Linked DNA regions of Neurospora crassa OR74A. The protein of the gene in region 2 binds, or shares a complex with, the protein of the main gene of each other region. Links are inferred from orthologs where the notes say so. Each region holds a gene or a part of one and is shown on either strand. Other genes may lie near its edges.

Evidence for each region.
Region 1: the proteins of NCU02828 (region 2) and NCU07679 are in contact, whole or in part, in a cryo-EM structure (PDB 6YVV), measured with the Saccharomyces cerevisiae proteins. The link is inferred for Neurospora crassa OR74A from reciprocal best matches to the Saccharomyces cerevisiae genes BRN1 and SMC2. Residues at the interface, in NP_009455.3 of Saccharomyces cerevisiae: Trp49, Ile54, Phe57, Tyr58, Leu60, Leu63, Glu67, Asn68, Asn69, Ile70, Phe72, Gln73, Ala75, Ser76, Leu79, Asp80, Cys82, Ile83, Tyr86, Ser87, Arg89, Val90, Val93, Thr94, Thr97, Leu100, Leu101, Leu104; in NP_116687.1 of Saccharomyces cerevisiae: Ala169, Gly170, Thr171, Lys172, Glu175, Arg178, Glu179, Glu182, Met185, Ser186, Glu189, Arg196, Leu199, Ile203, Lys206, Leu207, Asn992, Lys995, Met1003, Lys1005, Thr1006, Lys1009, Asp1010, Met1012, Lys1013, Glu1016, Lys1020, Tyr1024, Lys1025, Glu1027.
Region 3: the proteins of NCU02828 (region 2) and NCU09063 are in contact, whole or in part, in a cryo-EM structure (PDB 6YVU), measured with the Saccharomyces cerevisiae proteins. The link is inferred for Neurospora crassa OR74A from reciprocal best matches to the Saccharomyces cerevisiae genes BRN1 and SMC4. Residues at the interface, in NP_009455.3 of Saccharomyces cerevisiae: Leu101, Lys108, Ser693, Ser712, Thr713, Ser714, Phe715, Phe717, Ile718, Leu721, His722, Ala724, Asn725, Leu729, Gln730, Ile731, His733, Asn736, Tyr737, Asn738, Leu740; in NP_013187.1 of Saccharomyces cerevisiae: Pro175, Val184, Gly185, Pro186, Asn187, Ser189, Ile363, Glu367, Lys368, Leu371, Asn1385, Phe1388, Leu1394, Val1395, Gly1396, Val1397, Tyr1398, Lys1399, Arg1400, Thr1407, Thr1408, Ile1409, Lys1410, Asn1411, Ile1412, Asp1413, Ile1414.

The regions. Positions count from the first base shown.
Region 1 is NC_026504.1:2,261,021-2,268,955, reverse strand, and holds the start of NCU07679 (nuclear condensin complex subunit Smc2), read right to left. Parts: upstream 4,330-7,935; 5' UTR 4,036-4,329; coding exon 4,009-4,035; intron 3,909-4,008; coding exon 3,868-3,908; intron 3,799-3,867; coding exon 592-3,798; intron 459-591; coding exon 194-458; 3' UTR 1-193. Other genes in the region: NCU16785 (hypothetical protein), read left to right, coding at 5,308-7,134; NCU16784 (hypothetical protein), read left to right, coding at 7,828-7,935. UniProt on the Saccharomyces cerevisiae protein: Central component of the condensin complex, a complex required for conversion of interphase chromatin into mitotic-like condense chromosomes.
Region 2 is NC_026501.1:8,974,720-8,982,527, forward strand, and holds NCU02828 (condensin complex component cnd2), read right to left. Parts: upstream 4,795-7,808; coding exon 4,712-4,794; intron 4,609-4,711; coding exon 3,987-4,608; intron 3,933-3,986; coding exon 2,271-3,932; intron 2,075-2,270; coding exon 1,727-2,074; downstream 1-1,726. Other genes in the region: sec53 (phosphomannomutase), read left to right, coding at 108-565, 792-1,044; NCU02826 (sodium/calcium exchanger protein), read left to right, coding at 6,465-7,808. UniProt on the Saccharomyces cerevisiae protein: Regulatory subunit of the condensin complex, a complex required for conversion of interphase chromatin into mitotic-like condense chromosomes.
Region 3 is NC_026507.1:493,491-501,133, reverse strand, and holds the start of NCU09063 (nuclear condensin complex subunit Smc4), read right to left. Parts: upstream 4,577-7,643; 5' UTR 4,276-4,576; coding exon 3,103-4,275; intron 3,054-3,102; coding exon 1-3,053. Other genes in the region: NCU09062 (hypothetical protein), read left to right, coding at 5,002-5,158, 5,263-5,501, 5,577-6,080. UniProt on the Saccharomyces cerevisiae protein: Central component of the condensin complex, a complex required for conversion of interphase chromatin into mitotic-like condense chromosomes.

The DNA.
Region 1 (7,935 bases), on a different chromosome or scaffold from region 2:
TCTCCATATTCGTTTCCCACAATTACACATGAAGCGTAAGAGCTACAAATTCATTCATAACTCAACCAAGCCAGATGACATCACGCCCAAAGTTCATTGACAAACGACCATCCTGCTTCCTTTTCCTCCGCCCTTCGGTATCCCAATCCCAGCCTTTGATCATACAAGTATATCTGCCTAAAAGGTGAACATGTCACTTCAAATCCGCCGGCGTGAGCGCCTGCACCATGCTCGTTCCCTCGCTGAATCTCGTCCGGAAGATGCGGTTGGCGTTCTGGAACATGCCGTCCTTGAGACTGACGACGATGAACTGCGAGCCCTTGAACCGGGTCTTGATCAGACGCCCAATGTTCTGCGTGTGCGACAGGTCGAGCGCCGCGTCGACTTCGTCGAGAATGTACATGGGCGCGGGCTTGAACTGGAGGAGAGCCATGATGAGGGAGAGGGCAATTAGGGATCTGGACGACGACAAAGTTAGTAGGCTTGATGGGAGATTTTTGGATGAAAGGACGGGCTGAGGTGAGTTGAATTGGGGGAGGCGGTAGAAAGAAAAAGAAGAAGAAAAAAAGATTTTGAAAAACAAAAATTTACCTTTGACCACCACTCAACTCGGTAAGGCTCTGCTTCCACACTTTACCAAGCTGCACCTTAACTTCCAAGCCCTCGCTGATGGTCTTGCCTTCGGGAGGATCCAACTTGGCGAAACTGCCCGGCAACAGCTCGGCAAAGATCTGTCCAAAGTCGGCATTGACCTTCTCCCACGTCTCCTGCAGCGCCTTCTTCTTGTAGTCGTCCAGACTAAGAATGGTTTCCTCGATCTTGCGCTTGTCGCGGATGACGGTGCGCATCATGTGCTTGAGCGACACCTCCTTCTTCTCCACGCTGTCGATCATGTTCATCACCTTTGGGTTGATCTTTTTGCGCAGGCCCTGGCTACGCTCCGTCAGGTTCCGCAGCGTGGACTTGCACTCGGCAATGTTCTGGCCCTTGAAGTCGTAGAGCGTTCCGGGCCGGCCAAACTGGTCCTTGGTCTCGGCGATCCAGTCGTGCTCGCGCTCCATGTGTGAGGCTGTCTGCGCGGCTTGCTGCTGCTCCTTGTGGAACTTCTCGATCTGGTGACCGAGCTTCTGCATTTCAAGCCCCTCCTCGGCGATTCGAGCATTCTTGGATCTGGTAGCATCTTCCAAAGCCCGGAGCTCGTCGTCATACACATGCAGTTTGGTCCGTTCGTCTTCCAGCTGTGCTAGGACGGCGTCGTGGGTCTCTTGAAGGACTGTTCCTTGCTTCACTATGTCGTCGATCTCCTCCTGCTGGGCTTTGAGAGCAACGTCGATATCTTGAACCTGCTCCCGCGCAGCTGCGAGATCCGCAGCAACCTGCTCGGAGTCCAGTTGCGCCTCCTGAAGCTCTTTTTGCAACGCCTTGTTTGTAACAGACATCTTGTCCAGGGACGCACGTAGCTTGTCGACTGAAGCTTGCAGCTCCACAAGCTTAGCGTCTTTATTATTGTCAAAGTCCTTCATGTCCTTTTCGATTCTTTTGGCTTCGGCGGTGGCTTCTGCCTGTCGCTGCTTGGCCTCCATGATCGACTGCTTGAGTTGGACTATTGTTTCCTTCATATTTGCAATCTCTTGGATGATCGATGATGATGAGTTGCCGCCAATTTGCTCCTCCGCTAGCTTGATCTCATGGGCTTTGAGGTCAAGTTCTTGCTTGATTCTCTTTGCTTGGTCAAGTTTCGTTTTTTCCCGGTAAATTTGGCCGCGTAGCTCATTGAGGGCGGTCTCTGCTTCCTTCAGCTGCCGATTGATTTCATTGAGCTTCTGCAAAGTAACCAAAACGCCGCTCGAGTTGGGGGCACTTCCACCCGATAGTGTACCAGATGGATCGTACGAATCACCCTCCACTGTGATGCTCCTCATGCGGACATTTGGATCGAACGTCACTCTCTTGGCTGTGTCTGCATCAGCGCAAATGAGCGTATTTCCAAAGACATAGTCCATTGCCGCTGACACTTCATCGTCGTACCCAACTAGGGACAAAGCCAGGTGCACTTTTCCTGGAGCGATTCGTTGCGCATTGGCAATCGTTTGTGCAGAAGCCTTGAAAGCAGAGATCTTGTTCAAGGGAATGATGGTAACCCTCTTTCGCAATCTACCGCCTTGCAGTAGTTGTGTGCCAGTGACTTCGGTGTCAACAACCACGTTGTAAAGACGGCCTCCAGCGCAGATCTCCAGCGCTGTTCCAGCTTCCATATACTCTTTGGGTAATGAAAAGAGTTGCGCGACTAGCCCTTTCACTTTTGATCGATCAAAGTTTGGGACTGGATCGGCGTAGTTGAAGTCGATATTTGCCACCTTGCGTTTAAGCGCATCGGCTTCTTGCCTGAGATTGCGGATAGTCTGCTGGAGCGAGCTTTCCTGCTTATACATTTCTTCCTCCGTCCCGGGTTGGAACCCAAGCCTTCCAAGCTCCTTCTCAAGCCTCTGAGCCTGGGCTTTCAGGCCATCGAGATCCTTCAGCAAGCCGGCGTTTTGCTCTTTGGCCTTCCTGGCCCGGGGTTCTTCCCCTTTGATTCGCTTCTCCAGATGGGCGATTTTGATCTTTGCCTGCTCTTGTTCAGTTGCCGCAGCCGTGGCCCTGTTTCTCGCGTCTTGTAGTTGTCCTTGGTAACCGTTCTCCTGTCCCTCCTTGGACGCAACACCAGTTTGCAGGGTTTGTAGCAGCTCTTCCTTGGTGTCTGCTTCTTGCCTCTGCTTTTCAAGCGTCTCCTTGGCGGCATCGTATTTCGCCTTGATCTTCTCGTACGTCTTCGTCTTCTCCTTCAGCGCCGCTTCCAGGTCCGCAACGTTCTTCTCTCCAGCTTTCCTCCGTTCCTGCTCCTCCTTCATACTGCTCTTCTTCAAATCCACAACAGTAGCAAGCCTTACCAGCTCGTTGGCGTGCTTCTTCACTGCTTCTTCCAGGGCTTGAGCCTTGCCACCTTTTCGTAATTCCTTGTCGCGCTGTGCCTTAACCCGTTGTAAGTCCTCCTCCAGATGGGATATCTCATTTTTCAGCCGGATAGCAGATTCCTCAAGTTCTTTCTGGCGCTGCTTCTTCGCCTCAAGATCCGATGCTGACTGTTGTAGCTTCTCCTGACACCTTACGTAATCGTGCGCCACCACGAGCCTTGTCAATCGCTCCAGGTCGTTTTGTGTTTGCTGAAAGTCGAGGAATGCGCGCTTTTCGGTTCGTAGCTTCTCCAGTTTCGGTTCGATCTCATCCCGCAAGAGTTCTTTGATCTCCTGTAACTTCATCTCCTTCTTGGCCATCGTCTTGAGTGCTTTGTCCCTCCTGTCCTCGAACATCCTTGTGCCAGCTGCCTCCTCGATCATGGCCAGGATTTCAACGGCCTTCATATTCAAAACTTTTGTGATGCGGCCCTGCATGATGAGGAAGTTGGGGTTGTTGATATTGAGCTGAACCGATTGGAAGAGGTTCTGTACGGTTTGTTGCTGCGCACGATGACCGTTGATCAGGTATTTTGAGGTGCCTCCGAGCACGATTTGGCGGGTAACGCTGATGGTCGCATACTCTTCGAATCCGATTGGTGACTTTTTCTTGTCTCTATTGTCGAACACTATGGTAACGCTAGCCTTCGTGACACCAGCTTGGCCTCGTTTGTAGATAAGATCCTGCAGGTTTTGAGCGCGGACTGTTGACATGTTGGTAATACCGAGGACGAAGCAGATGGCGTCGAGGATGTTGGATTTACCGCTGCCGTTGAGGCCGGTAATGGAGTTGAAGCTCTCATCCCTGTGACGGCCGGTTAGTTATGCAGTTGGGAGGATGCCTTCCATCGCCCTGATGGATTTGTGCCCTTACCATCCCGAAATCACCGTTCTAACGGCGTACGACTTGAAGCCCTATGTGAGGCACGAATATGTCAGCTCTGTCGCGACTTCAAGTTGTCGCATCCCACGTTCGGTCCGGTCGCGACTGATGGCACCGTGGAGAAACACGTACGTCGATAATGACTTCGGTAACCCTCATTCTGGCGTCGTCGTGGTTTTGGGCCCGAGGATTGTGGTGGCTCAGACTTTGGCGCTGCTGTAAGAAACGCCCGCGCCTGCCCGAACAATTGCAACAAGATCGGAAGATGGACTCAACGTTTGTTTACTTTTCTCAGGCACCACTGGGTTTGGGGGAAGGGCGGGGTGTGGGCCAGGACAGGGCGCCCTGCATTCACGTCTGCACGTGCCCGCCTGCCCCTGGCGCGATGCTCACAAAGGTGGGGATTATGTAGCAAGTGGCTCTCTGCGACACTGGGTCCGTGCTCTGGCTATGTATATGTACCCCTTTTTGGTCTATCACCATTTATGATGACCCTTTCGTCGGCAAAGATCCCAAGTAACTCGGCTTGGCGCACATAAGATCAGGAAGCTCTACGCGGGATCCTATTCTCCGTCTTGCGAGGCCCTTGATTCGGCCTGGAGCAGTAAATCATTACGTACCAAAAGACCATGCAAAACGGGCCTGATTTGTACATGGCGCAGAGCCAAAACACATTGTGGAGCCTTTCCTTCAAGTGCACGGCATGGCCGGGGAGGCAAGGCATGGTCCCCGCTATGCCCGGTTCTTGGCCCTGAACTGGCCGACGGGAGCCCCCTCCGGGATACCTATGGGAGCCTCCATTCAGGCCACAGGCCGGGGACGCCGCCAACTAGAACACAGTGGCACGACTGCCCTGCGTGAGTGGGAACCTGGACGGCACGTTCCTGCTTGCGCATCGATTCCTCCAGCTCGTCACAACCTACCGTAGTGAAGTGGAAGCTCTTGGACCTTTCACCCTCCAGCTTTCCCATCAAACTGAGCGTCTCCCGTTCAAGATCATTGTTCGGCTATTGGTGGCATTTTTGTGATTTCATGACGCGCATTTCAATTAACCACCTAATCGCAACGACCTGTTACCCGCCGTACCTTTGTCTCGACGTCCTACCGGATCCGATCTCCAGCCCAGCTTCAACCGATTGGGCCATCACCGCGAGCAATCCGTCTCCATCAATAAACTTACAAAGAGAACTCCACGTTACGGCGCATCTCGAGAGGAAAAACAAACGAAGCGAGGGCACTCATAGCGTTGCGACCAGTGCCCATAGTCTCCAGCAGTCACACACTTGCAAAGAGAATAATAACAGCCTAGCAGCAAGGGGCACCCTCTCCATGGTTCCTCGAACAACTGCTATCTGATGCTCCCTTCGAACCACGAACCATAAGGCGCCGAGGTTTGCGCCCTCCCTGCGAGGACACAATCAACACAAAGCCATGAGTCTCTCGCAGCGCCCCCCTTCGAATGCTCTCTTGTCGGCTTCAGCAGAAGTGGATGATAACTCTCTTCGGCCACGGAACCGCCGCGTAGCGAGCAACCGGAATAATGCAACATCATCCTCCCTCTACTCAAGCCCGAGCAGGACCTCAGACAGAGGGGCCTCGCCGATTCCCGCCGCACGCATAGGAGATGTTACTGGGAGGAACGATTCTAGACTCGAGGTCGCGGCGGGCTCCGCTCGTACAAGTAGCCCCAGGGGTGGCCGTGGTCTGCTCGATGGCTCGTGGGCTTCGACGTGGGCCTCCGTTCAGGAGTTTACCACATCACTGCTTACCGGTGGAGAATCATATCATACCGGGTCAGAAAGGTTGGCAACTCAAACCGCTGGGAAACAAAAGAGCTCCAGCAGTTGGGGTCCCGAACCACCAAACGAGTCGAGGCCACGCTTGGAGGATGTTGGATCAGGATCATTAACCGAGCGGGAGGGGCGTCTCAGGGCCCTTAGGACAGCAAGTGTACTCGAAAGCCACGAGGGGGTCAATGGTGGCCTGGATGTTTCCAGGAGGTTCAAGAAGCGTAATTCAGACGAGGATTTGCGAGAACCTTCTCAGAGTCAGGAAGCAGCGGAGCACCTGGTGTACATTCACCATGTACAACCTACCGATACCTACGCCGGGATTGTGCTTCGCTACAAGTGCCGTGAAGACGCATTCCGTAAGGCCAACGGCCTATGGTCTCGAGACAATATTCAGATACGCAAATGGCTTGCAATTCCTGTCGACGCCTGCGAGATCAAGGGGCGCCCTTGCGGAGGCCCCTCATTTTCAGGGACTCAAGTTGATTACTTGGCTCGTACGCCGGAAGGAACTGATCCATTTGGGCGAGACAATTCCAACAACCGAGAGTTTTTTGGCCCCTCAACCAACGATCGAGGCGGGGACGACAAATTACCAACAAATGATGACGAGCGACCATGGACACATGTGCGTTGGGTATCACTCGACTCGTTTCCTCATCCTGTTGAGGTCGCACGAGTAGAACGTAAGGTTCTGGGATACTTTCCCCCGCGTCGGAGGAAGAGCATGAACACCACTTCCACGATGACGTCGCCTAGGACGTCAATGGACGTACCGGGTACCACCCTGAGTGGAGAGACCGGTCCCATGAGTCCCGGCAGCATATCTTCTCGCCGAACGAGTCTTATAGGAAGCCGTCCTAGTCTTGTTGGAGATGATGCGCGGCCAGCATGGATGAGACGGCCGGGGGGTGTAGGCTCGCTGCGGAATGTAAGAGCGCCCGGGCCCGAGAAGGATTATTTCAACACGTGGACAAATAAACATCTACCGGGCCTCAACATTGACTCTCTACCGTCCATGGCTGTTATGGGTGCTGAAACCGCCCGCCTCGGTTTCCACGGCGCTGAGGAGCACCCAACTATTGTGGAGAGTCCTTTTGAAGACGGAGGCGATGCCTCGAGGTTAAATGGCCAAGGGTCCACCGGCCTCGATAAAGCAGCTGCGGCGGTCGAGAATTGGCTACGAGGCGCCTTTGTCAAACGACCATTGGGAACGCCTTCTTTAGGCGTACCGAAACGATCGCCTCTTGGGGCAGAAGAAGGCGACCTCATCGAGCTTACCGACACTAATAGTGACGATGATCGAGGAGGCCCTGTCAATCCTACGTCTAACAATTTACAGGACACAGGACTGTCGAATTTTGAAGTCGGTACCTCTGGAAGAAGCGCTACAATGGGTGGGAGTGGAATGATGAGAGGGCGGTTCCCCAGCGGCAATCTTGCTGGGAGGGATAAGAAGGCAGACTAATTGTAGCTTTGGACAGATAGATCGCTCGTTTGCATCGGTTCTCGGGTAATTTGCAGCTTTGGAATCATGACGGGGGATCCCCACTCATGATGAGCATGTTATCACAGTTAAGTATAATGGCGTCCTCTTTCTTCATCATAGGGGGCCAGCAAAGTTGGCCAGGTTTGCATTAATATCTATTTTGGCGGTTTTGTGTATATCGAGAATTAGAGCGAAAGCGGGCACATTCAAAGCAATCACTAGACCATAGGATCACCGAAAAGTATATTTCTCATGCGCCATGAACCACCGTTTTGATTTGGACAACGGCGGTACAATTCGAGATATCGATGCGATGGACGAGATCATTTGGCCAAATGAGGACGAATATCGTTGACGGACGTTTAACCTCTGTTCGAGCCCCTGAAATGGCTGGGCCTGGTGAAGCAGCATCAAAACTGCACAACATACTGTGGTACACACATTGAACCCTAACCCAGCGCTTACCATGTAAACCAGAGGTGGACTAACACTGAATTGCTATAGACGCCAAGAACTCTCCCTCAGCATCATCCACGGCGGAAACATTGAGGAACGCCATCAAATCACAAGCGGTTAAATCCATCACAACACTTACGAACCCTCAACGATAATTTCAATCACGATACACACTTAACCCCATCAGCCTCGTCTCTGCTCAATCTCGCGGTCCGAATGCCGATTTGCATCGAATGCAGACACCCTGTGAAGACGTTATGGAGGGAGGGCGCAGGTGACAAGTCGACTGGACACAACATCCGATTGACGGTGTGCAAGAACTGC
Region 2 (7,808 bases):
GTAGAGCCAGCTGGTGGTGGTGATCGCTTCACCTAATTCCATCCCCTTCTTTAAATGTATGTATACACCGATGTAACTAACACAGCCCCGCCCCGCCCCCGATCAAGACCGTCTCGCCCGAAATGCTCTCCCTCCTCTCGGCCCTCCGCCAAAAATGCGCCATCGGCTTCGTCGGCGGCTCCGACCTGGTCAAGCAGCAAGAACAGCTCGGCTCCGCCGCCTCGGCCGACGTCACCACCCTGTTTGACTTTTGCTTTGCCGAGAACGGCTTGACGGCCTACAAGCTGGGGCAGCCGCTGCCCTCCAACAGCTTCATCAAGTACATTGGCGAGGACCAGTACAAGGAGCTGGTGCGCTGGATCCTGCACTACATTGCCGACTTGGAAATCCCCATCAAGCGCGGCACGTTTATCGAGTACCGGAACGGCATGATCAACGTCAGCCCGATTGGCCGTAATGCGAGCACGGCGGAGCGAAACGAGTTTGAAAAGTTTGATAAGGAGGCGGGCGTGCGGAAGGAGATGGTGGAGAAGTTGAGGGAGAGGTTTGGGCATTTGGGTTTGACGTATGTATTTCTTTCTGCTCTGCTCTGCTCTTTCTTTCGTTTTTTTTTTTCCTTTTGCTTGTCTCCCGTTTGGTAGTGTGGTGTGGTGTGGTGTGGTGTCTGCTGCGGTCGGCCTTTTTTTTTTTTTTTTTTTTTTTCTTTACCTCGCTTCGCTCGATCTCTTCCCCCCCCCCACATTCTCTCAGCGAGACAACAAAGCTAACAGAGAGACACGGAAAACAAACAGCTTCTCCATCGGCGGCCAAATCTCCTTCGACGTCTTCCCCACCGGCTGGGACAAGACCTACTGCCTGCAGCACCTCGAGAACGAGGCCAAGAAGGCCGGCGGTATCACGTACGACACCATCCACTTCTTTGGCGACAAGACCTTCAAGGGCGGTAACGACTACGAGATTTACGAGGATCCTAGGACTATTGGTCACTCGGTTACCGGACCGGAGGATACGGCGGCCGAGCTGAGGAAGCTTTTTAACCTTTAAGTTTTGGGTTTTGGGGGTGTCAGAGGTCTACCTACCTACCTGTGAAGGGGGTTGGGTGGGGATATGATGATGATGGAAGAACAAAGTAAAAGAAAAAAGCCTATATAGGGATTGAAGATAATTGGTAATGATGATTTGAAGACACAAAATGGAGAGTCCTCGGGAACGATATGATGCGTGACCAAAGGGTTGTTTACAGGCTCTTCCTTGCTCCTTTACTTCAGTTGACCCTTTCACTTAATCTTTTTCACGCTGGTACCACATACCTCCTCATCTCACCTCTCTGTATTGGAAACCAACACTGTCAGAGACCCGTTGGGTATACCATTCCGTAACCCGTATTTCATATTCTTGATATACCACAAAGTGCTAGACCATACCATATCATACCATACCTTATACCTTATACTGGTTCATACGCTCACCCACCCACCCAGACAGAGAAAAAAAGGAAGAAAGAAACCTGCCAATCCACCCACCCACCCACCCATCTCACTCACTCACTCACTCGCTCACTCACTAGTGTACTATTTCTTCTCCTCTCCGTTGTCGTTGCAAAACAACCGAACCGTCCCGCTAAACTGGGGTATCAACGTCACACTCTACAACTACATCCACTCCAAAAACAAACCCCCATGCTATCTATCTCCATCTAGCGCCCAACTATCACTCACTCACTCACTCACTCACCACCCTCCTCAACAACAGCATTCGCGTCCTTCTTTATGTAGAGCTCCGTCAACTCCTCGCTCTTCTCAATCACCAACCCTTTTTCGTTGGCAAGATGCAACAAGCAAATGAAGCAGTAACTGGTGGAGATGTCGTCCATGGCTTGTTTCGGGTAGACTTTTTGCAGCGAGTTCATGACTTCTGTGAACTTGAGCGTTGGTTTTTCTTGCTGTTCTTCTTCCCCTTCTTTGGGAGGTTCTACTGAGGAGCTCGGTGGTTGGGCGGATGGGGTCGTCGTTGGGGGTGGGGAGAGGAGGGAGTCTTCGGGGTTTGTTGTTGTTGTTGTTGTTGTTGTTGGTATCTGTTGTTCGTGTTGTTAGTAACTGGGAGAAATAAAAAGAGGATGAAACAAAAAGAAAAAAAAAAAAAGAAAAGAAAAACAGGGAGGAGAAAAGAAGAGAGGAAAAAAAAAAAAAAAAAAAAAAAAAAAAAAAACGTCCGCCATTCAACATGTCCATCCCCATCCCCCGCCAAAGTTCCTCCTTCAGCCTCCTGACATCCACCTTCTTGGCCCGTCTCGCATACTGCACATACTCGGGCCTGACTCTTCGTGATTGCGTGACCAGCATCGTGCCAAACGCCAAATCGGCCGGGTTCGTAACCGTCAGCCCGTTAAACGCGCCCGTCATGCCCACGTCCATCGTCAGTCCTGCTGTTCCTTCTTTCCCGGCAGCGCCATCCCCTTGCGTGCCACCGGGGCCAGGCGAGAAGTGATCCCGTGCGTCAGCAAAGACTTCCTCGTCCATGTCTTCGTCGTCATCGTCGTCTCCGCCGTTGGCAAACGGCAGACCGTCATCCTGGAAGAAGTTGGCGTCGTAGTCACCCTGCGGTAGATGGTCGTCTTGCGATGATGGGCCCTGGTTCAGCGGCGCTTTTTGTTGGGCCCAGAAGGCCTCGTCCATGGTGCCCTCGGGGACTTGGTCTGGGTTTTGGTTGTCGGCATTGGAACGGCCAAAGGCGCGCTGCTTGCGGCCGAGACGGGCCTTGGGCTTGAGGAAGAGGTTGAGCAGCTGCTTGGAGCTGAAGTGCTTGTCGTCCGGCAGCAGGTTGCGCGACTTGGACTTCCAGTCCTTCTTGGGCAGCGAAATGGCCGAGTTGGTGGTGGCTTGGGTGTGCAGGACGTCGTGAAGGGTGCGATCCACGGGGGTGAAGAAGTCGATCTCGAAAGCCTGTTTCTCCTTGCGCTGGCGTTGTGGTTCTCCCGTTTGGGGTTTGTTGACATCTTTGATCTTGCGAATGCGCCAGTGCTCGGCGCTGGTCCAGTTCTTTGATAGGGCTTGGTCGAAGTAGCTGAGAATGTCCTCGTGCAGCCGGTCCGTCTTTTGGGCGTTCGTCATGTTAACCATGCCGAAATCGCCCTTGTCTTGATCGATCATTTCGAGGTCGCCGTCTACTCCATCACCATCGTCACCACCTTCGCCCTCTCCTATGTCTAGACCGGCGTCAAAGACCCGCATCATTTGTGGCTCGATGGCGGCTTCGCGGGCCCAGGCTTCTCCACCCTCACCGAAGGCTACGTCAACGTCTCCTCCCAGGTCGAATGCGCCCAGCGCATCATCGTCATCGAAACCGAGCGGGTTCTCGTCATCAATAATGAAGCCGGATTTGTTGCCGAGGCCAGGGGTCTTGGCTCTATCTTGCTCCTGGCGCCAGTCCTCGGGCGCTCTGAGGAAGGGAATATCGAGGGATCCGGAGGGGTCTCCGAGGATAAAAGTCTTGAGCGATGGGCACACATCCATCTCGTCTAGTCGTCCAAGATCGGGAAAGAACCTAGCACCAAGACTGGCAATGTCGATCTCCACATCGTCCTCCTCCTCTTCTTCTTGTTGTTGGGTCCGGGTCTGGGTCTTTTCGGTTTGGCCGTCGATTTCCATCGCATCAATATCCATGGCGTCCGGGTCGGCATCTTGGTCGTTCTCCTCGGCGGCTTTTTGGTTGCGTGAGTCGAGAGTGTCGATGGCGTCGTCGCTGCTGTCAAAGACGATGCGACCCTGCGAATCGATCATCAGATGGTTCAAGAGGAGACCCTTAGCGCCTCCCTCATCGAAGTCTGCTGATGCCTTTTTGAAGAGCGGATCTACTGAGAATTCGAGTTCGAACTTTTTGAGCTGCAGGGAAGCGAAAGAGGGTGCCAGGGTGGCTTCGGAGGATCGTTGGGTCTGCAATTGTCAGTATCATGCAACCCGCCCGTAGCAGTGAGCCGAGCAACCAACCTTCTTTCTACGCTTCTTTAGTACGTTGCCATTCTCGTCCACCTCGTCCTCCTCCTCATCGTCATCGCCGCCGTCCTCGCCCTCGCCCCTATCCCTCTTCTTGCTGTCGCGACTGTCGGCCAAACCACTGAGCAGCTTTCCGGTTTCCGTCGCAACACTGTCGACTCTGCTGGTATAAATCTTGACACACCCGTCCAGCGTGCAACTGGCCTTTTGGAAATTGACACCGTCTCCTTCCTTGAGTAGCGACATATCATGGAAGTAGTCGATCAGCGCAAAGTTCCACGAGTTGGCGGCATTGATCTTGTTGTCGGTGGCCATCTTCATCCACTCCTCAAAGTTGGCCAGGATGGGGACGCGCTTCATGGGGGTGACGACGGCGCCGCCCACAACCGGCCTGTCATCGTCGTCGAGGATGGAGAAGTTCTCCTTGCCAGAGATGCGGCGACGCGGGGTGCGCGGTCCGTTGGAGGTCGGAGTGCCATTTTCGTCGATTACGCTGCGGGCGGGGGTTGCGACTGCGGTCGCGGCGAGTTTGAGCTGGTTGATCTGGGCCTCGTGGAGGGCTTTGCGTCCTCGCGATCGTTGTTCCTTTTCTTGGGCGTCGTCGTTTAGTGGGATTCTAGTCGGGACGAATATCTCTGGTCAGTTACAAGGGAGGAAAATGAAAGAGGGACGCGACAAGACGTTCAATTCGCAATTCGCAATTCAAAGAAAAGACGTACTTGAGGCCGGGGGATTTGAGCGGGGATGGCACCGCAGGGCCCTTGCTCATGCTCCGTCGCGGACCTGTGCTGAGGCGAGGCATCTTGGCGGTGTTGACGAAGCTATCCAAGATGTGAAGCTCCAGGCGGCCGCTGTCTAGTTTGGACTTTCAGTGGTGTTTGTTTACTTTGACCCGCCCGTAACCACGATGGGAGTGCCAATGCTGGATAGGTAGCGCAGACACGGGCTAGACGGATCCACGTCTCAGCGGGCGGGCTGGTGACGGGTGGCGGCACGTGCTGGGGCCTACTACGCAGTACTATGGTAGAGGTAACTAAGAGCGGGGTGAGGAAGTTGAAGGGAGGAAGTCTGGGGGGCTTGGCATCGAATGACTAAGCTACCTCTACAGTCAAGGTACTACGCTCAGGTACAGCGGTACATTACAGGGCATCGATACATCCATACACGTACAAGGGACATACTGTTACATGCGGCGGCCGTTGGCGATCACACAGAGCCCCCCCCCCTTCTGGTACTTACACTACATACACGTGTACCTTGTATGTGGGGTTCACTTGGGGAGTTGAAACTCCGATTGAAGTTCCTGAGTCCGAAGTTGTCACGCATGTGCACTCCCTACATAACTAGAGAAAGGAGACGTATATCTACCTCTACCTAGTGTACAAGTGGCAGGGCATATGGGCTACCTCCCCCGTCTTGACCTCTTTGTGATGCGATCAAGACTCATCTCTCTTGTCGCCACAAATCCACAGCCTCTTGAGTTAGTTCAGATGGAAGTTCCGTTCCTGTTGGTCACCTCACCCGCATCGATTGGAGCTCGCGTATGTATGCACTGTAGAAGTATAGTAGGCATCTGTAGTAGGTATGTATTCCTACTCTACAGTCAAGACAGACTCCAACCGAAACAGCGTCTCCATGTCCAACCGGGTTGCGCATGGGGCTGCAGACGTTAGAAGGTAGCATTACCTTTCCGTGATTTTCCTTTCCTTTTTATTTTTATTTTTTTCTTCTTTTCGGTTGCTGCAGGGAACTTGTTGAGATCAGGAACACGGTAACACAGCGATATGTCAGTCTCCTGCCCAACCAGGAAGGTCACCCTCTTTTAATATTCCCCGCCTTCCTTCTTTGCCCTTTGCCTCTACTCTAGATTACATACATCGATAGCTTCTATCTTCTCGTTCAACTTTCTCCCAATCACCTATTTCCTATAGTATCTACACTAATAGATACCTACCTTGCGCCCATCCGTCGTCTACCCATCTCCAATGCAATGAATCTATCGTCTTGTCTCAGAGAAGCGGCGCATGGATACCTCGACGCACCAGTCCTAATCCGACCTTTCTGGCCACCCGAAATCACCTTGGCAACTTTGCGACGATGATCTCATTCCGCCTACATAACACAGCAATCCCGCCCGCCCACGCGAGCCACGCCATCGTCCCGTCAATCGTATACACCATACTGGACATACTTGTAGCCTTATCTGTTTTTTTTTTCTTCTTCTTTTCTATTTCTGCTGCTGGCAAATTTCTCTCTTTTTTTTTTTTTTTTTAATTCCGGCCATCATCAACATACGTACCTTGCGATCACATTTGCGATTGCGACCCAACGATAACTGCCGTTCGATTGCCCCGCCGGTCCATCCATCCATCCATCATCCATCACCGTGGCGACACTTCCCTTGGGTCAACACACCACCACCAGCACATACAGCCAGTATTCCCCACGCGATGCCATGACCAAAGGTCCAGCATGTCGCTACATCGCCAGAAACGGAGCCCCTTCAGCTCCCGACCCTTTATCGTGTCGACTCTCCTCATAACCTGTCTAGCAACCTATGCGCTCGTCCTCAGACCCTTCGCGACATCACGGTTGTTGCGCCAACCCGAACATGATCAACAACAACCACATAATATTGCGCGAATCCTCGCAAGAGGTCACCACAAGCACGAACCGACCGCCCCCGTCGATTGCCGCGATGTCCACCTGGTCCAAGACCAATGCGCCTTCATATTGGCCAACTGCGAAGACGAGGATGCCGGCCTAATACACTACCTGAGCTTCTACTACTGCACGCTACCCAATGCGAAACCCGTCGCCTTCGCCGTCCTGACCGCATGGCTGGGCCTCCTATTTACCACGATCGGCATCGCTGCCAGTGACTTCTTCAGCATCAACCTCAGCACCATCTCGAGCGTCCTGGGTCTAAGCGAGAACCTGGCCGGCGTCACGTTCCTCGCCTTGGGCAATGGCTCCCCGGATGTCTTTAGCACCTTTGCCGCCATGAGTTCCAACAGTGGGAGCATGGCGGTGGGCGAGCTGATCGGTGCTGCTGGCTTTATCACTGCCGTGGTAGCCGGGTCCATGGCCTTGGTTCGCGAGTTCAAGGTCCAGAAACGAACCTTCGTCCGAGATATCGTTTACTTTATTGTTTCCATCAGCTTTACCATGATGTTCCTGTTGGACCAGGAACTGCACCTGTGGGAGGCCAACGCCATGGTTGGCTGCTACATCTTCTATGTCATCTTGGTGTTTGCGTGGCAGTGGTTCACGGACAGGAGGAGAAAGAGGAAACAAGGGGAAGCTGCTGCTCGTGCTCATTTTTATGGCTCTACACCCGAGCCATCAGGAGAGCTGGAGCCATACCGGGATCAACCAGAGGATGATGAAGCAGCTTCGGGACATCATCGGCCTCGTACTGCTCAGACCGACATCAGCGCTCTGGAACATGGTCCCAGAATAGAAGTTGACGGACACGGAATTGCATCTACACCAAGCGAAGAAGAAGAGGATGAGCACCGCGATCTGCAAGTGGCTGCAGAGATGACCAGCAGCATGCGCGTCAACCGTCCCCGCTGGGGCCGAAGCAACTCCACCATCACTCCCATCAGACCTAGTCTTGTCGGTGCTTTGGAATTCCGGTCGATATTGTCGTCAATACAGAAGGAAAGAAACCAGCATAGCGGCTACGTCCGTGGACATCGACGGGGGAATTCCGATTATTTCTCAAATCAACCATCACTACCTTTAATTCGCGAGGATCAGCTATACCGGGGGCGTCAATACACCCTCGACACATTGCCGACCCTCTCGACT
Region 3 (7,643 bases), on a different chromosome or scaffold from region 2:
TCGGAGAGTACAGACAGGTCGATGTTCACGTTGGAGATCTTCTCTTCGAGCGCGGCGATCTCGCCCTTGAGTTTCTCTTTGGACATGTCGGCTAGCTCGTCGCGGGTGTAGCGGGGGAGTTCGAGGGGGTTGCGGGGTTTGCGCGGGGTTTTGCCGGTTTGTTGACGGCGCTTTTGCTTTTGCTTCTTGGGGGTTTTCTGCTTGCGCTGGCGAGGTTCCTCGTCGTCTTCGTCGAGGGACATGGCTTCTGGATCTTCGTCTTCCTCCTCCTCCTCTTCCTCCTCGTCCTCCTCGTTCTCTTCGGCCTCGGCGGCTTCGGCCTCGAGTTGGGCTTGGAGAATGGAATCAGGGTCGTCGACGTCCATGGCATCAGGGTCGGCAAGTTGTTGAGGTGCTGCTGCGTCGCCGCTGGTGCCGCGCTCGAGATCTTCAATGTCTTGGAGGGCGAGCTTGGAGAGCTTGTCTTCCCAGTAGCGCAGACGCTTCTGGTTCTCAGACAGGATCTTTTGGTTTTCCTCGAGCTTATTGCGCATCTCAATTTCCACCGCCCTTGTCTCGTTGAGCTCGGCCGTCTTCTCATCCAGCTCCTTCTTCATAGCTGCCAGTTCTTTCTTCTTCTCCTTGAGTGCCTCCTGGGCCTCTTCAACACGGGTCGTGAGGCTCTCGGCAGTATCGCCCTGGTTCTGAATCTCCTCTTCCAGAGCCTCGGTCTCCTGAATGGCATTCTGCAGCTCTTTAGACGCCTTGTTAAAGTCCTTCTCTAGCTTGTGCTTCTGTTTCTCCGCTTTCGCCATCTTCACCTCGGCGGCAGAAGTTTCCTCGTTTTGCGTGGCGATCTCTGCCTTTAACGAGTCCACAGCGGCTTTTTGAGAGCGAAGCTTTTCACCACCTACCTTCATGATCTTATCTTGAAGAGCCTTAATTTCATCCTCGACGGAGGACATCTCCTCGCGCAGCTTCTCGACCTCGCCCTCAAGCTTGGCAATTTCCTTTTCAAGGGCGGCGACGCGGTTGTCATCCGTCTTGGAAGGCTGTTGCTCCTTGCTGAGCTCCTTGATACGGCGCTGGGCATCGGCAAGGTTGCGCTCCGAGCTCTCAACTTCGAGGTTGATCTTCTGCATCTTGGTCTCAAGCTGGGGAATCATGGACTGGATCTGGCGCAGACGGGACTCGAGTTCTCGTTGGCGGTCTTGGAACTCGTTGAAGGCCTGCTCCAAGGTATCACGGTCCGCCTCAAGCTTGTCAACTTGCTCCTTGGTGGTGTCAGCCACAAGCTTGGAGGACATCAGACCCCGCTTGACTGTAGTGCCACCACCGGTCATGGTACCTGACTTATCGATGAGCTCGCCGGCAAGGGTCACTACTCGCCATCTCTTAGCGCCATAGGCAATGCGGTTTGCCTGAGCGAGATCCTTGGCGACCAATGTGTCCTGAAGAGCATGGTAGAAGGCAGGTCGGAACTTGTCGTCTTTGGGCTTGACAAGGTCAAAGAGACGAGGGGCGTTTTCGGGAGTCTGAATAGGAGACATGTCGCGGACTCGCAACTTGTCCAAGCACATAAAATTACCACGTCCGAGGTTGGTTTTTCGGAGATATTCAATACATTGCTGACCGGCCTCAACAGTGTCGGTGACAAAGTTGTCCAGAGCACCACAGGCTGTAGAGATGGCAATATCGTACTTCTGGTCAATAGCACCGAGATTTCCAAGTCGTCCATGAAACCCATCGATACGACCCGACTCCTTCATGCGCATAAGGGCAGTCAAGACATTGCCTCGGTTTTGTGTGGCGGACAAGCTCGACCGCGCCTCGTCAGCCTTTTGGCGGGCATTCGAAAGCTGTTGCCGGTACTTGGGTTCCTCCTCCGCAAGCTTGGAAAGTTCAGCCTCGATCTTCTTGCCCTCCTTGATCAGGTTCGCTCTCTCAGCTTTGCACTGCTCCATCTCCTCCGCCTTCGCCGCTTGCCTTTCCTGGATGGCCACAATTTTCGTCTCCATCTCCTCAAGGGCCACAGTTCCGGCATTGGCCTTTTCCCTGAGAATGGCCAGCTCACTCTCCGCAACGGCAATGGCGGACTGTTTCTGATTGATCTTGTCCTTCCAAGGCTCGAGAGACTTTTGCTTTGCCGCGATCTGATCCGAGTACTTTTGCGTCTTGCCCTTGAGGCTCTCACGTATCGTCGCAAGCTCGGCCTCCTCTTCCTTGACCTTCTTCTCCAGGAAAACAATGTCCTTTTGACGACGCTCAATCTCCTTGGTGCAGTTCTGAATGGTCTCCTCCGCTTCAACAGCCGTCTTCTCGGCGTTAGCGATCGTCTTCTCAAGCTTCTTACGCTTGTCCGTCAAGAACTTCCGCTTCTCCTCGAATTTGACGCGTTCCTGCTCGAACTTGTTCATCTCCTTGACCAGCTGCTGTGTCTGCTTCTCCCAAGAGTCGTATTCCTTGCTACCCTTGGAGTAGGCCTTTTCCAACTGCTTGATGAGCTGTTCGCTGCCGTGGTGCTTCTCAAGCTCAGCGTCAAGTTGTGCCTGCATCTGACCGATAGCCTCCTCTGTGACAGCAATATTGTCGTCGCATTCGCTGATGTATAGCTGGTAGAGAGCCGACTGTTTCAGCGCCAGTTCGTTTTCATCGCGAACATACGCCAGCGCCTTGTTCTTCTTGTCCTCGAGACTGTTCCTTTCCTTTTCCACGTGCTGGACACGACCACTCTTCTCCATGCAGATCTCGTTGAGGGTTTCGACTTCGGTGGCCGACTCTTCAATTGGTGTCTTGTATTTGGAAGTGCCAATAATGTCTTCTAGGTACTCCAACAGACCATCTTCGTGCTCGTTGCCGGCTTTGGGCTTCATCTGGGCAATCGATTCGACTTCGCCCTGGAGAATGAGAAAACGCTTGTGATCCAGATCGACACCACGGTCGCGGAGTAGCGTGGTCACGGTGGTAAAATTGGATGATTTGCCGTTGATGTAGTACTGGCTCGAGTTGTTCTTGAATGCTTTGCGCGAGATGACGAGTGTTGAGTCGGGGATAACCTCGTGGCCACCGCCGGGCTATCAATGTCAGCACAATGACTCCCCTTCAAAACAATGTTTGACTTACCAAGTCCATGACTTCCTGGAAATGCACTTCCACCTCACAGTAGTCGAGATTCGGAAACTGCGCCGAATTGTGAATCAAGGCCGAGATCTTGCCTTGTCGCATCTTGCTGGCACGGAAACCAAAGACGAACAGCAACGAGTCGATGACGTTGGATTTGCCAGAACCGTTGGGACCCACGACCGAAGAGAACGAAGCATGGAAGGGGCCGACCTCCTGTCTACCGGCGTAACTCTTGAAGTTGATGAGCACAAGATTGGTGATGACAATGCGTGGCTTCGGGCCGGTATCCTCGACGACGGGAAGAGCCATGGTCCGTGACTTGAGCACAATATCCATGGGCTTTTCCAGAATAGTATCCATAGCCCTGACGGGCTTCTGGGCCGCCACGACGGTTTCATCTGCTGTTGATGTTGGCTGTGTGTTGACAAGGGTCTCTGATGCCGCGGTCGCTGGAGGTGGTAGGTTGATGAGGGTCTGGGTGATGTCCTGTAGAGGAGCAGGTTGGCGATCGACGCGTTGAGTTGACGGAGAGCCTGGCGTTGGTGTCCCTTGACGGCTGGCTTGTTGCTGTTGCAGCTCGAGTTGTTGCTGCATGATCTTTGCTGGCGATCTGCTGAGGCGCCGCACAAGAGTTCTACGCTTCCGCGGGGGTGACTGAATTTCTTGCGTATCCCGTGCTTCTGGCTCCGCGATCACGGCGGTTGTAGCGGGCGAAACGGCAGACGCGACAGTCACATTGGGGTCGATACCCTCCTCGATCGGCTCATCCTTTGGCTTGACGGCAGGCGCTGGGGCTTCGGGTTCGGCTTGGGGATCGTTATTCGCTTCGACACTCGGTTCGACACTGGGCTCTTTGCTGGGTTTGGGCGCGGCATTCTTCTTAGGTCGTCCGCGCCTTTTCGGCGCAGCTTTTGGTGCCGGTGCCGGTGCAGTTGATGATGATGCTGCTGCTGGTGTTCCTGCCCTAGGAGCGGGCGTGGCAGTGGATCTTCTGGTGGTTCGCTGAGCAGTCTTGCGGGCTGCCGAAGCTGGCGCGGGTGTATAATCGTCCTCCTCGTCGTCATCTTGGGCGCCTCTCGATGTGGTGTTTGCGATATCGTCGTCTGATGAGGATTCTTCGATGATGGCGGCGCGCCTGGTTGCGGCGGCCCGACGCGATGGGCGCGTCGACATGACTGATGTCTGTCGGTGGTTTCGGCCTGCAAATTCTCGACTCGATGATGAAAACAACAGAACAGAATGGAACAGAAAGCGCTGCAAGATGCGGGTATCAGACAACCAAGGAGTGAAAGTTTATGTAATAACAAGTAAAGATGAAAAATGGTATTCACATTTCGCAGGGCAGTTGTTGCGACAGACACGGAATGGGACGCCCACGCAGAAACTCTTTGAGTGCTGTCGCAGCTTCTTCCTTGCCCCGCCGCGGTTAGATTGTTGACATTCAGGGCAGTTTTTGGACGGACGCTTCTTGCAATACCGTGACTGCGGTGGTAAACAATCAGCCACAGCAGCCACGGGCAGCCAATGCAATTCGTGCACTGCAGCGGGCGACCCCTCCGCTGCCTGGAACGCTCGCACCGTGTTGCGCTATCACTGCATGCGTGGCAGGCTGGTGGAGTCCCGCTCTGTGTAACAAACATTCCATGCGCTTACGGCTTTCTTACCTTATCGATAAGCCAAGACAGGCCGTTACCTAGCGCAGGTACAGATCCGGGGAAGGCTCCATTCCAGGTGCAGGGGATGGACCTGACGGACCCGATGGCCGTTGCATACATGTATCCCAGGCCATGACGGCACTCATCCATCCCTTCGATTTTCCCTTTTCCCTTTCCATTCAATTCATTCAACAGCTAAGGACACTTGGGCACTTCAACTGTGCAATCCAACTTCAACATCACGATGCTCGACTATACAGAATACAACAACGTGTTCCCCTCTCCGGGATTCATAAACCCCTACGATCACAAGGGAGCCAGTGCCATTGAGACTTTCCGCAAATCATTGGGCGGCGTCCTGTTTGTGGATCGCGTCCTAAGTCGGTTAGGCATCGCCCAAGGTTAGTGTAGTGTAAACACCACACTACCACCTAATCACCCTAACAACCCATGCCCTGTCGTTATAGCGCGCTTCATCGCTAATCACCACTGTAACTACCTCTAGGCACTGCATATCCGCCCAGAGGTGAGAACGGCTTGCGCTCCCTCCACCAACAAATCTGCCAGAGCAGCGCCTCGTCGATCCAAAAGATATCCGTTCTTTACTATCTCCTCCTCGACCATGATGACGTCCATCCAGGTCGTTCGCATTGGGCGGACAGCTTTGCTGAGGAGACGGGACTGCCGAAAAAGTACCAGATCCTTATGAGGGGCCTGTGGCACATGGATCGCATGGAGTTCAAGGTGCGGACGTCCGTTTGGTTCTGGAACCTAAGTTGCACACTGGACATCAAGACGCTAACAAACGCTGCTAAACAGTACGCAATCGAAAACCTAACCCACCCATCCCTCCCCACCGAATTCGCCGACGAAATCACCATCGCCCTTGTCCGCCATCCGCTCGTCAACAAGCGCAGCTCCACCAGTCAGAGCGATTACACGCTAGCTCTCGCCTACTTCCACGCCGCCCAGCCCGTCTTTACTTCATCCGAGGCTCTCGAGCTGCTCTTTGGCGCTCTTGCTCGTACTAACGTCACCGAAGCACTCGATTTCTCGCGTCGCTACCCGGAGTGGACCCGCCAGCAGCTGTTTGAAAGGTTAGTAGCTTCCATTCTAGAGCAGCCGGACAAGTTAGGAGCGAGGGGCAAGGAACTCGTTAGCGCGGCGTTGACGGGCGAGGAGGAAAGCTGGTTTCAGGAGTACTTGAGGCACGGGGAAGGAAGGAAGAGTAAAGGCGCAAATGCGCTTTTGAGGATGAGAGGGGTTGTGACGGGGAGGTTGAGCAGCACTGCCGCTCTGGAGAACCTTGCTGGTTATTCGTGAGGCTAAAGAGTTGTGGGTATACCTTCATAGCTTGGCAGTTTTCTGTCGATAGGTTGATCTCTGGCAACGGGCATAGCGACGGCGTTTGGATACTTTTGGGTCTTGCCATGGGGAGATGGTCACCTGAGTCAACATGTTTATGACTGTTTATCGTCAAACCGACGAGAATGCTCTTTTGCTTTTTCGATTTGCAGCAACGAAGGTCGAGTCTCGCTGACTGGCAGTAATGACTGGACGTTCCTGATTGGTTTCAATCAACTGAAAGAGGCATCCAAAAAAAAAAAAAAAAAAAAAAAAAAAAAAAAAAAAAAAAAACCGCTCAAAGACAATTCTGACCACCAAAAAAGGCCTGAACAGAACTTCTTTAGCTCTTTGTTGCTTGTGTAGTCCGATCGCAACTATTACTTTGAAATCTAGGTACAGAAATCACTAATAGGAAATCATGGTACAATCTGTTTGAGAATGTACATTGAGGACAAGCGCGAGATCTCAAGTACCAAAGTCACTTCTACATGTAAGCATCTCGATTTCTACCCACTGTACCTAATGCGCTGTAAGTTCATCATAACTGAATTCTACTTTTACGCTCTATAATTGACACCAGTCACCCGATTACAAAAAAGACGAATTTGATACCAACCTTAACTTGAATACTAGAATCATTCACCTCATTGCTTCGTTAAGTGCATCTACTTCTAAAGGTATTGAGTAGAAAAACTGAGGAGTGGCTGAGGTGAGTTTTGGCTCTTTTTGTCGGTAAAAGAATCGTGGGGCGTTTTTTTGTACCAGCAACTTTCTCTCCGCCCGGGCAGTTGGGTAGCAGTGGAAGGCACCCATTCACTCTTTCCCTGCCACTCTAATCTCCAGGCGGTAACCGGCGAAACTCCCGCCGTGCCACGTCAATGTCTTCCATCTTTCTTCCCTCCAACGCAAAACACCGTGACATTCCTACCATTACTACTACCAATCCACCACTTTGAACAAGTCCCGCCTAAACGCCATAATGTCGACCCACCTATGCGCGGTTTGCAACCGCTTTGTACCCCACTGGCAACCGAAAGGGTTCAAATGGGGGACTCCACATCACTCGAGTCTACACAACCTCCTTCGAGCGGCAGACGAGGGATGCTATATATGCCAGTCAATCACAAAAAGTTGTCATTGGAGGGATATATCCTACCTGACCGTCCAAGGCTTTCCCTTTGACTTTACAGTGTCTTTAGGGACTAACTATAACGGCTCTCACTTGACTCTTACAGTTGAAGCCACCTGTCTCACGGATGACTCGCCTAAACTCAGGCAAGCTATTGAAGCTCTTGACGAGATTAGGGAGAAGTGGCTACCAAAACTAGGGAGCATGTTGATGTTGGGATCAATCTCCTTTTCTTTCCATTTTCATCTCCGGCCTATCGGAAATGGTGAGTCATGTACCCTCTCGAGCAAAATAATAACAAAAAAAAAAAGGGTTGACAGAAAAAAGGCAATCAAATTGACTTGCGAGCTTTCAATACAGAAGTCACTGATGATCATGAACAAAGATCGACACCATCTTCTGTACAGCGT